Daphnia pulex: one gene and its partners. The protein of the gene in region 1 binds, or shares a complex with, the protein of each later gene. Links are inferred from orthologs where the notes say so. Each region holds a gene or a part of one and is shown in the gene's direction. Other genes may lie near its edges. The genes, in order: trafficking protein particle complex subunit 8-like, trafficking protein particle complex subunit 11-like and trafficking protein particle complex subunit 9-like.

Region 1 (5,071 bases):
CTATCATTCTGCCAAAAAGGACTTTGAAGCTGATCAAGCTTGGCTGCACTATGCTGGAGCCATGGAGATGGCTTCACTCTCCGTCTTCCTGCAGAATGGTCATAATCGTACCATCCCGTTCCACTACTTCGACAAAGCGTTGACCACGTATCTGCAAACTTGCAAGTCCGTTTTAATCATACGAGTCATGCCGTTCAGCCAAACTTTAGTGCACGTTTCCCATTTACAGGATGCCGTATTGGGCCACGCGCTGTGCCGTGTTGGCATCCGAGTGCCTTAAAGCGACGAATCAATACAGTGACGCCGCTCTACAACTAATTCGACTTACCAGTGAAGACGCCGATTTGCGAAGCGCCGTCCTTCTAGAACAAGCTGCCCTTTGTTTTCTTCGATCTGCCGTCAAACCAAATTCGTCATCTGGCGGTAATTTAAATGTCGGAAGATTGAAACTTTAAAAGAATAAATAAACCAATTTTGGTCTTAATTTTTAGATGCCGCCAAGCCGAACATGGTGCCCCTCATCCGCAAATACGCCTTCCACATGATTCTGGCTGGTCATCGGTTTGGCAAGTCGGGGCAAAAGCGCCACGCTTCTCGAGCTTATCAACTCGCCTTGCAAGTATGTCCTTTAAGCCGCTTATCTTCCCAGATTTTCCTCATAGTCAAATTTGTTCCAGGTGTATAAAGGGCATGGTTGGAGCTTAGCTGAAGATCACATACACTACACAGTAGGGCGACAATGCTTAAATCGACAACAGATTGAAGCAGCTTGTCATGCGTTGGGTGCTCTTTTAAAGCCAGATTCTTTGCAGACTGCCGCTCAGCAAACCGCCTATTTAAATGAATTCATTCACGTTCACCAGGTAACTGGTTTTTAATTAATTTTTTTGCAATATGATATTTCATAAATTTTTTTAACCCAAAACAGTTGTTAAATAAACACCGAGAAAACGAAATCAAAACGTCAACTTCACTTCCAGTGTTACCCCTGCCTGTGATCGATAGCAACCAGATCAGAGTATTAGTTGACACGAAAGATCCCACGGAAAACATTTGTCCGCCCGTGTCTGAGGCCTCTCATGTCACCTTCAACGACGACGAAGTTCATCACGCAAAGTACGTTTGTCACCTAACTATTTTTAAAATAATCATCAATAATGGAATGGTTGTGTTGTATAGGTGGGCCAATATGGAAGAGAAACTGGTGCAGTCGGCCTTTGGCACAACTCATGCCATGTTCCGGCCTACCAATCTTCTATTTTCTAATACGACCAACAATACGGCTCATCCACAAACGTATTGTGATGGTAAAAGAAATTAATTTTTCGGTTTTAGAAGATAAATTCTAATTTATATTTCATGGTTTTTTTAGACCTCATTAGTTTAGAATTACCTTTGACCAACCCCTTGCGCATTCCTGTCCTATTATGTGACATTCGTCTAGTGTGGAACTTCTCTGGAGCGGACGGCAACCTATCAAATCTACTCATGACAAACAACAATCCATTGGTTACCACTTACATTTTACCAAGGATTGTACTGAATCCTTCTTCTTCACATAAGGTTTAATTTGTTTCTGTTTGCAGCTCAATTGCAGCAATGCTAATATTAAGTTTTGCGGTAAAAATTAGGTTGTTTTGAACGTGAAACCCAAAGCAGAGGGAATGCTGACCATTGAAGGAGTCGCTTTTGACCTTCGCCCAGTCAATGTAGAGCCTTCGGCAGCAGTAGTTGGATTAGTGTCGTCAGTGTCAGGTAAGTTTACTAGTGTTTTATGTTGGTTAATTTTCGTCAAATTTAAACTGAAATTTTGCTTTAGGGCGAGTAATGTTTAGCTTGCAGGGCCCGAGGTTAAATGCGACCCAACAGGAACGTCATGGCAAAGTATATGCTTCTGACAAAAGACTCTCGATCCAAGTCGGGCCACGCATGCCTAAATTGCAAGTGCTGTTCCACTCCTTACCAGAATTTCTATTTAGCGGAGAAATTCGCCCAGTGGTGGTCGAACTCTCCAACATTTGCCCTAGTGTACCCGTTGCCAATATAATTATCGCTTCCAACGATCCCTTACACCTCGCTTTCGACCTTCCCCGCATTGAGAGCAAAAATGTTCGAAATGATCAAATTGCACTCTACCGTTGGGATCCCACTCAAAAATCAATTAAAATGTGGTTGAAAGGCACCGAAAACGTTGGGTTAACATCATTGGATCTCATGTTTTTCTCTACTAATCCCGCCATAAAAGCCAGGTAATTGGAAATTAAAATTGGATTGATGAGAAATAATTGACTTACAATTTGTTTGTAAAGATATCGTCTACTTCGCCACTGTTCGAAAATCTTTGTCTCTTCATCATTGAGCCTCGGTGCCTGGGTTCAAAGAGTTCCGAGTGGGGAGGATCGCACTGAAACATTGGCCGTTCAACTCCAAGTTCGGAACCTCAGAGACGTAATTCAATTAAATTTCACGAAACAATTGATACTTCAGAAAATAATATTGGGATATATTTCAGGCGGATGACACATCACTAAGTGGTATTGAAGTTTCGCAGGTGGCTCTTCTTAGCAATCGATGGCATTTGCGTTCTGATCAGTCAACAATTCCAGGTGCTATAATTACTGAACTTGTTTAAAGCAAATAACAACGTGTTTTGTGTCTTGTTTAGACGGAGTACTTCATCCACAAGAAAGCCTCATTGGGGTGCTATTGGCCATCCGAGGAACTGAAAAGAGAGAATACAACGAGAGTGTTGTGCTAAAATTACCAAGCCATGGACGAGCTGTCGATTTCCAACTCGACCCATACCGATCATTCGTTAAAGAATTTCAGAAAACTACACCCGACACAACTCTGGTTGTGTGCTGGACGGTAAAATATTATACTGTACAACATTTTGAGTTAAATCAACGATCTAATTTGTTTTCTTCTTGACTAGGCTACGCAAGCTTCTGAAGATGGATTTGGTACTTTACTCATAGAAGGGCAACATTACTTTGGTTGGAATTCCCAAGATATAGCAAGGTTAGAACTGTTCAATTAACTTTAAATTTATGCTGCTGAGTAACTGTTTCCTTATAACTGTCTTTTTTCTTTTTAGCTCAAGTTTGCCAGAAACCAGTTTGAAATCACATCAGCAGTTGGTTTCCTACTCCATGGAGTATTCAACAAAAGTGTTTCATGATTTTGACCAACAGAAGTAAGTTGGGTCTACATAGTAGGCCTAGTTCTTTAAAAACAAGTGTTTCAATTATTTTTTGAATTTCATCACTTCATTATCATTGCATATTTTTCTAATAGGTTGTGTGTTATACCAGTAACTTTGTATCTTCACAATTGCAGTCAGCAACAAGTCGATGTTCATTATTCAGCCAACTTCAATACAGGGTAAAATTTATAATGACATTAACAAATTTTTATTCACCCCAACCAAGTGATTTTTTCCCCAGGAAACCCCCACGTGCTTCTCAGTTGTACATGCCTGAAGCTGCTTCTCCCCTACTTTGGATAGGTCGTGTTCAAGGAGATGTTTGTTTGAAAGATACACCTGAAGCAGTTCACTTGACTATAGCAGTTTCAAGGCCAGGTGCTTACAGTCTTGTTCAAGGGTTACAAATCGATGCAAGAATGTTGGGTGAAAATGTTAGAGTACCAAGTCCAAAAATTGAGTATACATTGATTGTTGATCACAAGGAAGTTTAATTGTATTATGTAGGTGAAAAAATAAAGTTGTTCAGATTTTAATCATTGACTCCAATTTCCAAGAAGCTTCTCAATTGAAGGATACATCCATTCATCTTTGGAAAGATTACGAGCTTCTTCATTTATCTTCTTCAATCTTTCTTCGTGAGCTTCCAGCTCTGTTGAGGAAAGGATTTGGGAGATGTACCTTTCAAATGACACTTTCATGAAAGCTTGATCGGTTTTCTCCTTTTCACTCACACCTAGTTCCATTTCAGTTCGGTTTGCTCCTTGTGTAACTTTGGGAGGGATTTCTTGTTGACCAGGGGACAACATCAGTGTTCTTCTTAAATTCGCTCCAATTACTGTTAAATTTTTCAATGGAAATTTTTAAGTGATGCATCAATGCATCAAGTGGGGAAAAAAATTAATTGGCTTACAGCTGTTTTGGTTCATCTTTAACTTGATGGAATAAACAAGAAAATCTTGGAAAAAAACTCGGAAGTCTCAAATAACTGCAAACAGTTGCAACAGCAGACGACAGAATGAATTAGTTGACAGCTGGAAGGCGGAAGCAGCACACCTTGTGGTCGCGGGAGGAATACAAATACAATCTCCCGATAAAGATTCTATCCCAAACGAAGCTGCCCCACCTATCGTCCAATTAGTTGGCGTTTTCCACTCAGGTCTTCACTACTAATTTCATTACAACATTTATTAATACTTTTTATTATATTCAAAATTGAAATTACCGTAATTTAACGTAATTTAATTACGTTATAATAGAGGAGAAGATGACGGTTATGGCAATGACGTAATCACACTTCACATAGTCAACATTGACTCATGTTAATATTGACTTGAATCTCAATGTCATTGAGGATAAAATTAATTTGATTTGTTAAACAAGAAATTTTATTGAAATAGTCAAAGGGTTTTTAGAGTATATCAATAGAGTTTAAAGCTTTAATCGTACGAACTACCGACACAATTTCGGAGCGTGAGACCAACTAGCAAAGACAACGGGATTTTGTGGGTTACAAACTTACGATCTTTACGATGGACGTCATTTGTATAAACAGAGCGTCTAGTAGATCGGGAAGCGAGTTTAGAAGTGAGACGAAAAAAGAGAACTCGTACAGTATATGGTTTAGTAATGGACCGTATATCGGAAGAGAAAAATTCAGTTTATATATGTATACAAGTATACACAATGGGAGTATTACAAAAAAGGAGGGGAAATATTATTCCATTTTCATCAAAAGAAGAAGAGCGAAATTAGGTATGAGAAATTTGTTGGAAAAAAGAGATGACGTCCGAAGACGTGATTTGTTCTGCCGGTAGTTTCTTTGGAGCCCATTGAGAGTCTTTTCACAGACCGCTGACTTCCAAT
Region 2 (5,754 bases), on another chromosome or scaffold:
TCACTAGATGGCGCTGATTCATTTTTCCACTTCACAACTTCTGACAAGCTCCGCCCTAAAATGTCTGAAAATCGGGGATACGTTTACCCTGAAACCGGGATAGGGAAGCCAACACAGCCGAGAACCGACCAGGTATCTATGGCTCTGCTAATCTTACTTTCGGTAAAGACTGATAGAAATGAAGGCCATGTATCTTACTACCATTATGCGGAAGTTATGGTTCATGAAAATGCCGTACATGGCGCCACATAGCTGTAATGAAAAGCATTCAAACTTCAAAATGTTGAGAAATAAAATTTTAATACTGTATTGTGTGATAAAATGCGCTCATCATATACATAAAATTTGCAAATAAACAATCAAGAATCTAAAATCATATCAATTTCTTTTCGACACCATAAATTTCGTTCAGTGTTTAAAATAAAACGTGAGTAGTCTCTCAAAGGACTAGATTATTCATGCTGTTTTTGCAGGAAGTTTGCTGGAGATTTGGCTGGTAAAATTGCTGCTAAATGTCGCTTCCACTCTACCGCTTTCCAATGTGAAATCTAATACAGAATAAAATATTAGCCTTCCCTTCAAATTTGCAAAAACATGATTCCTTAATTTACTTTTTTGATTGCCAGCAGTTAGCTCAGCAGCAGTGGTAGCCAACAAAGTGCTATTATCACAGCTGTCAAGCAAATAGTCGCATATCGTCGTCTCGTTCAATACCGGTAACTTACTTTTCGCGATCCACAACGGCTTCGACACGACTGGAAAAACAATTGAAATAAAAGCGATTGTCTTTTTGGTAACGAAGATCAAAAAGTAAAAAAACAAATAAACCCTTACATTCGATGTACATTGCGATTCCAATAGCGACTAGTCCGACTACTGCGAGGCAGATGAAGAAAATGCCAATCATGGAACACGCCGACATTCTTTTCTTGGACCCATGCACCCCAGCTGATGGTCGTCCAGATTTGACTGGATGCAATTCTAAAGGACTTTCACTCATGTCGACTCGGTGGTGATCACACTTTTCTCTTGTTGGATCGACACTACCAGTAATAGCCCGTGTTACGCAAATCAGACCCGATCTATCAGTTCAAGAAATTTCAATTAAAACACTAAAAATACCATAAAGTTATGGAAAGAAAAATTTACTTGAGATCGAAGCAACCAGTGGTTTGATGGCTAACATCGGAATTCCAACTCGAATCATTATCGCCAATAGATGATCTAGCGGTTGGATGATTTGGGCCGCCAATATCGACGGAAGTGAAGCTGCTCTCCAATCCTGACGTGGCCAAGCATGGCGGCATCGCACCACCAGACACCACAATGACTTTTTCTCTCGACTGTCGATTCAATTTTCAATCAATTAGTTTAAGCAATACAACAAAACAAATTGCTGCACAAGTAAACTCAACTGGAAAGTAAACTGGGACGGAAGGTGAAATCGGCGTCGACGGTTGTTGGCAAAGAGAGAGGGGCGTGACATAAGCGTCGACATCGGGTTTGATTATGCCGAAACTGGTACACAGACTCAATGGCGAATGACAGTTGTTGTTGTCTTGGATCTTTAGTGTATACGATGGTGGAGACTGAAATTCCAAACGAGTCTGAATTCGGTCGACATCTTCCACGACGATTGATGGTGTCGATTGCAAATGTCTAGCCATTTTCCTTGTTAACCTAACACCTCGTGGAATAATTTAATAACATTGCAAATAAAGTAATGAGAAGAATTGATGTACCTTAAATTAAATGCCAAAAGAACCACCGATAAAACTAGTACCAATTGGAATTAATAAAGGTGACACGTGACGACGCTCTTACAGCGCGGCGTTTTTCGACTGCAATCTGTAACAAGGGGCGAGTAATAAACTAAGATTATTTTCTTTATGGCAAATCAAGGGATGGGTTCAATAAAAATTAAATTTGTCAGACAAAATTTGGCAACTCTGAATCCGTTCTTAATTGCGCATGGGGCATGGGGTCCGAAGTTCTCTTTTGTTATAGCCTTATCGGTACGATGAGTAACAATTTTGTTTTGAATAATTTGTTAATTACTACGAAAGCCTAATGATAAAAGAGTTCGTGGAATTTTAAAGGGTGTTCCATGACTCATTCCCATGTCCCATCAACATGCTGTTTTGTTTGTTTTCAAATGGTTTTCCAACCCTATTGAATTAATTAAGCTTAATTAATTAGGAAGGCATATTTCCGCGAATTACTTCCACGTTGTCTTAACATTGTTCTGGGTGCAGGGTATGTACAAAACAAACTAAGAAAATATCAAAGAAAGTTTACCTTAAATTTTGAAAATTGGCAAACTGGCAATACAGCATTATTTTTTGTTTTTCTATGTTTGATATTTCGTCTGCTACCGGGGTAGAGTTTTAGGGTGGAAATTGTTCGTAGTTTTGTTTTGGCTTCTCATGGTTTTTACACATTGTTCATCATCGCCCTTGAAGTTAGAAAAATAATGAGCTCGGATCTCGAATTACCCGAAGAGTTGGTGGATCGACCGTTAGCGTTGGTCGGTCTGACGGGACTGAATGTTGAAACGAATCAGACTCACCTGCTGATATGGAACTCTTTCACGTCATCTAATCGAAGCGAGAGACCTCCCCTCCATTTCGTTCTTTTTGGAGTTAATCATGCATTCCCCCTGGCGAAACCTGATGTAATTTATCTTTTAGGTTGAGAGATCAAAGTTTTTTTTAAATGTTTGTTTTTCACTCATTTGTTTTAGAGAACGTCATATGAATGGTACATTCCTAAAGGCATCCTCAAAAGAAAATGGATGTCCAAACACCTGAAACAGATTCCAGGTGTCTTGGTTCTCTTCTATGATTTGGAGTGGGACGATCCTGCATGGAAAGCTAAACATGCAGAATGTGCACATCTAATCCAAACAACTCGGTAAATCATTCAGTCATAAACTTGAACTCAAATATTTTGTTATTAACTATAATTTTTCTATCCAGTATGAAGCTTATGGGAAGGGGTAGTAAGCTCTGCCTAGTCCTCTTACAAAATAGCCCTCCATTACCTTCCAGTGAAGATATTTTGGCAGCAGATAGAGCTGCAGCTTTGTGCCAAGTGTGTGAATTACCACCTAAATCGCTCTTTGTCCTTCCTTGCCGTAGCGATCATCTACAGGGATACACCTTGAGGTATCACGTTATTTTAAATGTAGTCGTGAGTTATATAATGTTACACTATACTACGAAACAGGTTGGAGAGCGCATTTTACGAACTTTGTCAAAGTAGTTATCATTTGTCATCGAGGGCCGTTCGCTCCCACCGCGACCAATTGAACCGTACAAATCACGGCTACTTGTTTGTGAGACATCAGTTTAAAATCGGATTTTACCACGAGCTTAAGCAGGACGTTGCCATGGCGCACAAGCATTACAGCCAATCGTATGCCCATTTGCTAGAGCTTCGCATCACAGATGCCAATGTCACTGAAGTGAAGATTGTCGCTGGATACATCGGCTACAAGGTCTGGCGTCTCTCGTTCTTGCTCAATCTGCCTCGCGAAGCTATCGCCCATTTCAGGAGTCACATGGACTTTTTTCGGCTGCGGATTGGTAACCCTTTGAGCAAATTCGAACATCACGCCTGGCTGGCTGCCCAGTAAAATTAAAATAAAATTTATTTCAAAAATTATTTTTCATTAAATTTTACGAATTCTTTTGTTTAGATTTTCGACGTTTGGCAGTTTGTTTGACGATGCGATTGAGTTAGGACTTCCGGCAATCCAGACTCAACATCCTGGCTTCTTCTACCAACAGTCTGCGCAGCAATCCATCCTAAGGAAGAAGGCTTGCTACCAAGATTACGATGCTCTCGACGAAACTGTCATTAATAACTTGACTCCATTATCGTTCGGCGAATCGTCACAATTGGAATTCTTCGGTCAAAGACCCTGGCGACCTAGTCGGTTGAGTCTTGAACCAGCTGATATGAAAGCTGAGAACGACGGGATTGCTGCAATGTTAATCCGCGAAAGACATCAAGTTGATCTCACGGTACTGCCTTTTATTAAAACATTTCCTATTTTGATAAGCGATTTTAACTTGGTGTGTAGGGTATGATCGTTGCTGCTCTTACAAATGCAGTAAATCAATTTAAAAATCACCGATCTCCTCGGATGAAGCAGTATTTATGTAATTTATCACTTACACTTTTAAAAGTCAGTATCAGAGCAAACTAAAATTTTTCTTCTCCTAGTGGTACAAATGGCGGAAGAATATTGCCGATCGGAAAACTTTGCGGAAGCCCTTACGTAATAAAAATTGACTTCAACTTTTATTTTAATTTATTATTAATGGAAATTAACGCTTTGTATAGGTTGCTCGAACCTTTGCTCTGGGATTACCGCAAAGATTTCTGGTGGATGCCACTGACATCTTTACTCCAGTTGGGTTTGCGTTGTGCTTTTCTTTCCGGTCGGCCTGCCGAATACTTCACATATGCCGTAGAATTGTGTTCCCGGGTGACGATGAAAAGCCAAGATGAAAAGGGCCAATTATTCGATAATCTCATCGGAATCCTACAAAAGAGGATACCACCGCCGCCTCCCGACTCTACCGCGGTTTCGTTGGCTACTCAACTATGGGCTGATCAATTTGCAAGTTTGGCCAGCGGCGCCTGCGTAACCACGATCGTTACCAACACGATTTCGTCATTCGTTGAAGTCAAGGCCACTTTTACTCAAAAGCAATTTGCTGCCGAAGATGTTGTCGAACTCGAAGTTCACGTTAGGTAAAGAGTTGGAATTACTCTTGAAATACAAATTTAATAATAACTTTAATTTCATAATAGTTATACGGGTCCAAAGGCGATACAGTTCACCAGTTTACACGTGGCTCTCAACAATACTGCCTATTTGCCCTTTTGTCAAGTGAAGGATCCGGAAGAGTTGGAATTTGAACCCAATCAGATCCGACACTACGAGTTTGAATTTGCTGCGCAATCTCAAGACATTGGTGCGGAACTTCAAGTAGGTTTAACTTTGATTGGCAATTGAAGAAGAGAAAGTAATTTCATCCATCCATAGATTGTTTCAGTCACGTTGGAGATGGGGCATGACCTTGTGGCTTATTTGCGATGCGAAGGATCTTCCAGTGAAGAATTTGGGTCATCACGTTCTGAATTTCCTTCGGCTACAGAGAAAGGTTTGTCCGGTTTGTTTGTATTGAACACGGCCGAAATTCTGCCCCGGACTGCAAACGTTGAGCTTTTGATCCGACATGACGCCCCGGCCCTTCGTGGTGAATGTTATCCGCTTCACCTTGAATTGGTCAATCGGGAAAAAGAAGATATTAGCAACGTCACGGTGACTGTGACGACTAGCAGCACTGACGGCCGAGTTCACGACCAGCCTAAAATCGACGGCAATTTGTCGGTTCAGTTGAAGAGCGAAGAAATCGCAACCGGGCAAACATGCCAATGGAACGTGTTTACTCAAATGGAGCAGCCTGGTAAACATTACGTCACGTTTCAGGTCAATTACGAAATAACCAGCGAGGTGTGCAATAGTAAATGCACTTACAAGAGTCAGTACGTCAAAACGCTCGAGCTGGAAACGGTCCAACCCGTCGAGTGTGAGGCTCAGTTTCAGACGATCCAGTTCCAGCCATTGAGACAGATCCCCGTAGGAGAGCCTTGTGTCGCTGTGATGACGGTGACCAACTTGTCGCCATTTCCTTTACTGCTGGAGCAAGGCGTTTGGAAATTTGACCCATTGCTAAC
Region 3 (5,677 bases), on another chromosome or scaffold:
CTTGCGCGTTTCCTAAATAATGCAATGAAATAAATTGCCCTAAATATAGCGAATCACGCGCAAGTTTATCGCAAACACATAGCTAGTCCCACGATCGCTTCGATAGCGCTAGATCTAGCGCGAAACATTTCAATTAATTATTTTTCACGCAATGATCCGCCGAAAACAGCGGAAGGAGCAGCGGAAATAGCGGACGGGCTCGCATTACTCGTCTAACCAGTCAGCGCAGTGGTTTCCCTTTGCATTCAATACAAACAAATAATTTAGAGCCATTCGCATTAAGTAGCGTTATTTAAGCGCTTTCGCTTTTTTAAATATAGGATTAAATAATACGCTCAAATTGAGCACATATCGCGCAATAAGCGTTAAACATTTATTTTATCGCTTGCGTGTTTCGTAAGCTATAAACGGACTCGAGACAAGCGCTAAAATTATCAACGGGTGTGCGCAACTTGTCCAGTCGCCGCAATCGTTTTACCTGTCGCATTTATTACTTTTATTAACGAAGCGCTTGGGCGTTTCGTAAATAATACAATGAAATAAATTGCGCTAAATATATATTTAGCGCATCGCGCGCAAGTTTATCGCAAACCAATTGCTAGCGCAACGCGCGCTTATTGCAAATCATTTGAATGGCTTATTAGCTTATAATGAGCCGCCGAAAACAGCGAACGGGCGACAGCGCTAAAATAGCAAACGGACCAGCGATAAGCGCTTTTAAAAAATCGGACGGGCTCACGTTACTCGTCTGACCAGTCGCCGCAGTCAGCCGCAGTCGTTTTACTTCGCTTGACATTTAAAAAAATAAAAATTTAGAGCGACGCGCATTAGGTAGCGTTATTTAAGCGCTTGCTCGTTTTTTTATTTTGTGATTAAATGCCCGTTTGTACTACTGGATTCAAACTGGCTATAAAGGGGGTGGAGATGTGGCATGAAGTAATTATTTTGACCGCTAGGTGGCTGCCGTTTTTATATTGAACTTTTTTGGGATTATATATTGAACTTTTTGGGGGTTTTATATTGACTTTTTTTTGCTTTTTATATCAACTTTTTGTTTTTTATATTACACTCTTCTTGGTTTTTATATAATACTTTTTTCAGTTTTATATTGAATTTGTTTTTTATATATTCTTTTCTGTTTTATATAATGATATTTTGAAAATCATTATTATATTGAAAAAGTGGCGGTTTTGGGCTTCCTTAGTGAAATTAACCCAACCCGACAGGCTTTAACACGGCGAGGGAAAGAGTCCCGTCCTTAGGGCTGTGGCCCGGGCGATGAAAACCCGGGCCACCGCCCGGGCTGAACGAAAAAAAACCCAACCCGACTCGACCCACCGAGGCATTTTTTTTAACGGGGCGGGCGACGGGTTGAACCCCCGGGCCCGCGGGCCAACCCGAGCGGTGGCGCCATCTAGTAGTCAAATAGAGAAGCTCGTTATTCTCTATGCCTGCGGCCTCAAAATATTGCCGCCAAATGCTCTACGATAATTTCGTAGCATGAAAAGTAAGATAAGTGGTAGAAAAGGGCGTTCAGGGGTGTTCAGAAGACAGAATTGACGTGTCACTGTTGGAAGAAGAAGATAATTAAGAAATTTAGGGATTTTTTTTAAGTTTGTAAAAAAAAAGTGTGTTTGACCCGATTTTTTACCCGGGCCGTTACCCGACCGGTATAAATTTTTTGACCCATGGGTTGGCCCGGGCCAAACCCGGTCACTCAGTTGGCCCAACCCGCTACGACCCGCGGAAGAAGAAAAACCCGTCTAAAAAACCCATTAAAAAAAAACCCGCTAAAAACGTCCCGGGCCACAGCCCTACCCGTCCTCTTAAATAGAGTAGTCCATGGCCTGGTTATAAACTGTATGTGGTTTTGCTGTTTCGACTTCACGATTGTTTTCAATTTTCTAGACAAGAACAGTAACTAGTCATTTCAGGTTAGATTTACTGGTGTCGATGCTTGATGGTGTCATGGGAAAGGAGCAGAATTAATTTTTGAATTAATTTTAATGACACAGTTTGAGTATTGACACACTTGAAAATTGAAGTAAAAATCTTCATTATTATTTAACATATTCATTACGGTTTCATATTTGTTTCATAACAGGTTTTAAGAAGAAGAATTCTGGAAGTGATTGATAATAACGTTATCATTTCTGTGTTGTTCAGTTCAACGCAAACAAGGAAGAAAACTATAACAACTTATATCCTCATGCGATCCGCTGTTAGTGCAATTTTGTCATCTCCAGCTCCTGAGTCAAATATGTCTCACCCAGATTATAGACAAGTAAACAATTATGTTAAAAAATATGAAAATACATCTCATTTCCAATTTTAATTCCAGACAGCCCATGATCATGCTTCCTTATTAATTATGGTGAGGCATCTTGGGTCAAAGCTCAACACCAGAAACTTTTCTAGACTCTATGAACGAATATCAAGGCAAAACAGTTTTAGGATTAAAGATAGCTCAGGAAGTGTGAGAAATATTTCAGCCCGCTATGTAAGATCCTATCCTATTGAAAACAACGAATGGGGAGATTTCCAGGTGAGTTATATTTTGGAACATAAATTTTCACAATTTTTATAGACCTTGGAATTTAGACCCATCGTAGAGTTCTTGGCCTTATTTGTGTTGGTGAATGCTCAAACACACAGGAAGTGAGTGAACTGAGCAAAATTCATGAATCTTTAAGATCAAAATTCAGTGGAACTTTGTATGATTCATGCTGCCTTTTTCTGGGGCTACAACATGATGGTAAGTGATAGAATTTGGTTTTCAAATTATGTTATCTTGAGATAAGTTATAAAGGTTAAGTGTTTCCTATTTAATTTTGTTCTGTCTGTTGAAAGGTACACCTTATGTGTCGTCAGTTTCAGAAGCTTCTCCAAACGAGAAACAGCAGCTAGAGCTCTCCAAAGATCCTGAGCATTCAACCTTGCCAATGAAAAATCACAACACACAGATAGAAATACCTTCTTTAACTGATAAAGAAAGGGCAATTACTTGTGACATCAGTCACCAAGATAGTTTTAATGAAACATCAACATCTACAAACTATGATAACATCAGTAAAGTTGTATCTCATCCATCTCGTACTCTCTATTATCCTAGTCTTGACAAATGTGTCACTCTAGAAGCAGATTTACAGGTACTATAACTTGAAGTGCTAAAGCTTTTGATTTCAGTTCATTCTAATTTAGTTTGTTGTGTCAGGATTTTGTTTCTTCCCTTTTTTGGGTATTGGAATCGAAAAGGCTTGTATCGATCAGCAACATCGACAAGGAAAAGCAGCCGTTTTTGTGCGCACCATTCGAACGAAAGGATTTAATTGGTATTAAAAACATTTTTAGGATAACCCAGGTGACATATTGTGTTATCCCTCTCTCAGGAATGGATTTAGAATCTCGAACTCATCGAAAACGTTGTGTTGGTCGATGGAGAAAGCAAGTAGGAGATTTATCTCTTCAGGCAGGTTTGTTATCCGAAGCACTTGAACAGTATCAGGCGGCAGCGGATGTCCTTAGACCTGCGAATGATTGGTACTGAAAGAAATTTAATTTTCTACCAAGTTAGTAGATGATTCGTTTAATGTTCAATAGGCTTTGGCTGGCTGGATCTTTTGAAGGACTTTGCGCTGCATCGATCATACTCTTATATCCTCATCTACGGAGGCCCGTCGCCATCCAGAGAAACGGGTCGTTAACGGGGGAAGGATTTAATAGTCGAATCAGGTATAAACAACATCGCATATGAGTGTATTTTAAATAATAAGGGAAATTCCCAAGCTAAGCAATTGTATTACGTAAGAAATGGTGGCAAAAAACCACAAAAAAATATTAAAATAAAAAACAAAACAAAAAACCTTTCCTTTGTTTACGTTTCGGCGTGATATACCTTGTACACATATTAATTTCCTTTGAGTTTGCTAAAATTCATCAATACGATTTCCTTCAGGTCAAATTCTTCCGGAGTAGGAGTGCGTTCTCTTCCTCCTGATATTGATTCTAATCACCATTTTTTGAAGAATCGGTTGAAATTCAAACATTCCCTTGGACCGGATGAAGTGATTGAAAAGTACCATGAAGCCGTTGTTCATTACTCCAAGTATCGCAATGCAGGAGTTATAGAAACAGAAGCGTCCATAAAAGCTGTCCATGTACTTATTGAACAGGTTCGATTTTTTTTTTTCTAGTTCTTTTCAAAAAGCTGACTTTTCTGTTTTGGCAGAGGAAATACCTTTCGGCTGCTGAATTTTTACAAAATGTTGTTTTTATCAACTTACACCTATCTGATGAAGAAAAGGTTTCAGAACTTTCATGTACCATAATTTATCGATTGAATTGCTTTAAAAATATCAGTTCACATTCTAGATTCAGAGATTTACTGCCCTTTCAGAACTCTACAGTCAATTAGGATTTAAACGGAAAAGCTCATTTTTCCGCCGCGTGTCCGCAATGCGTTGTGTTGCCCCAATGACAACAATTCAACCCAACTGGACACTTTGTTATCAGCTTCTTCTTGAGTCTATTGACGGATATAAACTCTCACTGGATCCTGCATTGCTATCTCATGGTTAACAAATTTTAATACATTTTCTTCATGTGAATATTATCCTTTTTAAATGCTAACAGAACACGCATGTGGGTGGCACGCGCTTCAAGTTCAAATTTTACAAGAACTTACCGGGACTGCAAGGCGATTAGGAAATGTTCCATTGGCCATTCGTCATGCTTCTTTGCTTGTTCACTTGCTTTTGATCCAGCAGCAACAAGTTGGTGCTATTCCAATATTGTCAAGCCAAGAGCAAGCCGAAATGGCTAAGCAGCTTGATCAGCTAGCACAACGCTCAGAAATGCCATTGCATCCTGGGCCACTTGCTCTAGAAAATGGCACCATTATTCCACCGGTGTCCTTAACTCTTTTACCCAAAATTGTTCATTTCAAACTGCAACCACCTGGAGCTGTATTGGCTGCTCAGAGGCTAATGCTCGAAGACGAAATCAACAATGGCCCCTTTTTGTTTACTCCTATTCAGTTTGGGTCTTTCAGAAAGCAACCAACAAGAAAAACTCTAGTTGAAATGGGTCTGTGATTTTATTATTTTTTAAATAAAAAATAATTTGCCAATAATTTTTTTCGAGTTTTAGATTTTCAATGGGTAGAAGGTGATCATTGCGAAGTATTAATACAAGTTATTAATCCTTCTTCTTATGAATTACGCATTACGAATATGCAATTGTTGACGGAGGATGTAGAGTTCGAGTCAGAATCCAGCTGTATCATTCTCCCTCCAGCTGTTGATCAAAAAACAACTCCCACAGTTATAACTTTGAGTGGTAATGTTGGTTTTTCTTCATCCTGCTATTGTCGTCTTTTCTTCGTGCTAAATAAACCTTTTTTTTTCAGGCATTCCACGCAGACCCGGACTTCTCAAAATTGTAGGCTATTCAATGACTGTGCTTGGTTTGAGAAACCACTGCAAATTGAAAAGTGCTATGCCATTAATGGGCAGTGCTTTTTTTTCTATTCATGTGGTCCCTGCTTTACCACGATTATCTGTTGAAATCGCATCGCCAAATCAGTAACTTTTTTACATACCGCTGCGCAATTATTTATTATTTCTAAACTAAATACTAATTGTTTCCATAAATTTTTGTAGTACTTTAATGACCATAT

The links.
Region 2: trafficking protein particle complex subunit 8-like (region 1) and trafficking protein particle complex subunit 11-like share a complex: the UniProt entries of both Homo sapiens proteins name them as parts of the multisubunit TRAPP (transport protein particle) complex. The link is inferred for Daphnia pulex from reciprocal best matches to the Homo sapiens genes TRAPPC8 and TRAPPC11.
Region 3: trafficking protein particle complex subunit 8-like (region 1) and trafficking protein particle complex subunit 9-like share a complex: the UniProt entries of both Homo sapiens proteins name them as parts of the multisubunit TRAPP (transport protein particle) complex. The link is inferred for Daphnia pulex from reciprocal best matches to the Homo sapiens genes TRAPPC8 and TRAPPC9.

The regions. Positions count from the first base shown.
Region 1 is NC_060026.1:3,046,554-3,051,624, forward strand, and holds the end of trafficking protein particle complex subunit 8-like, read left to right. Parts: coding exon 1-165; intron 166-229; coding exon 230-423; intron 424-491; coding exon 492-619; intron 620-677; coding exon 678-863; intron 864-928; coding exon 929-1,116; intron 1,117-1,179; coding exon 1,180-1,307; intron 1,308-1,372; coding exon 1,373-1,563; intron 1,564-1,631; coding exon 1,632-1,755; intron 1,756-1,819; coding exon 1,820-2,249; intron 2,250-2,309; coding exon 2,310-2,448; intron 2,449-2,512; coding exon 2,513-2,606; intron 2,607-2,665; coding exon 2,666-2,868; intron 2,869-2,935; coding exon 2,936-3,021; intron 3,022-3,097; coding exon 3,098-3,196; intron 3,197-3,297; coding exon 3,298-3,384; intron 3,385-3,446; coding exon 3,447-3,699; 3' UTR 3,700-3,741; downstream 3,742-5,071. Other genes in the region: uncharacterized protein LOC124205264, read right to left, coding at 3,742-4,043, 4,119-4,134. UniProt on the Homo sapiens protein: Plays a role in endoplasmic reticulum to Golgi apparatus trafficking at a very early stage. Maintains together with TBC1D14 the cycling pool of ATG9 required for initiation of autophagy. Involved in collagen secretion.
Region 2 is NC_060025.1:1,286,196-1,291,949, forward strand, and holds the start of trafficking protein particle complex subunit 11-like, read left to right. Parts: upstream 1-2,331; 5' UTR 2,332-2,473; coding exon 2,474-2,674; intron 2,675-2,743; coding exon 2,744-2,913; intron 2,914-2,978; coding exon 2,979-3,167; intron 3,168-3,228; coding exon 3,229-3,633; intron 3,634-3,700; coding exon 3,701-4,028; intron 4,029-4,087; coding exon 4,088-4,166; intron 4,167-4,230; coding exon 4,231-4,285; intron 4,286-4,350; coding exon 4,351-4,764; intron 4,765-4,824; coding exon 4,825-5,002; intron 5,003-5,059; coding exon 5,060-5,754. Other genes in the region: uncharacterized protein LOC124202179, read right to left, coding at 457-548, 612-755, 835-1,082, 1,150-1,343, 1,416-1,667. UniProt on the Homo sapiens protein: Involved in endoplasmic reticulum to Golgi apparatus trafficking at a very early stage.
Region 3 is NC_060024.1:7,058,855-7,064,531, forward strand, and holds the start of trafficking protein particle complex subunit 9-like, read left to right. Parts: upstream 1-1,817; 5' UTR 1,818-1,860; exon of another isoform or gene 1,861-2,044; intron 2,045-2,104; 5' UTR 2,105-2,209; coding exon 2,210-2,284; intron 2,285-2,341; coding exon 2,342-2,545; intron 2,546-2,587; exon of another isoform or gene 2,588-2,601; coding exon 2,602-2,755; intron 2,756-2,850; coding exon 2,851-3,149; intron 3,150-3,214; coding exon 3,215-3,332; intron 3,333-3,389; coding exon 3,390-3,540; intron 3,541-3,600; coding exon 3,601-3,732; intron 3,733-3,955; coding exon 3,956-4,172; intron 4,173-4,228; coding exon 4,229-4,303; intron 4,304-4,371; coding exon 4,372-4,573; intron 4,574-4,632; coding exon 4,633-5,085; intron 5,086-5,148; coding exon 5,149-5,337; intron 5,338-5,407; coding exon 5,408-5,582; intron 5,583-5,660; coding exon 5,661-5,677. UniProt on the Homo sapiens protein: Functions as an activator of NF-kappa-B through increased phosphorylation of the IKK complex. May function in neuronal cells differentiation. May play a role in vesicular transport from endoplasmic reticulum to Golgi.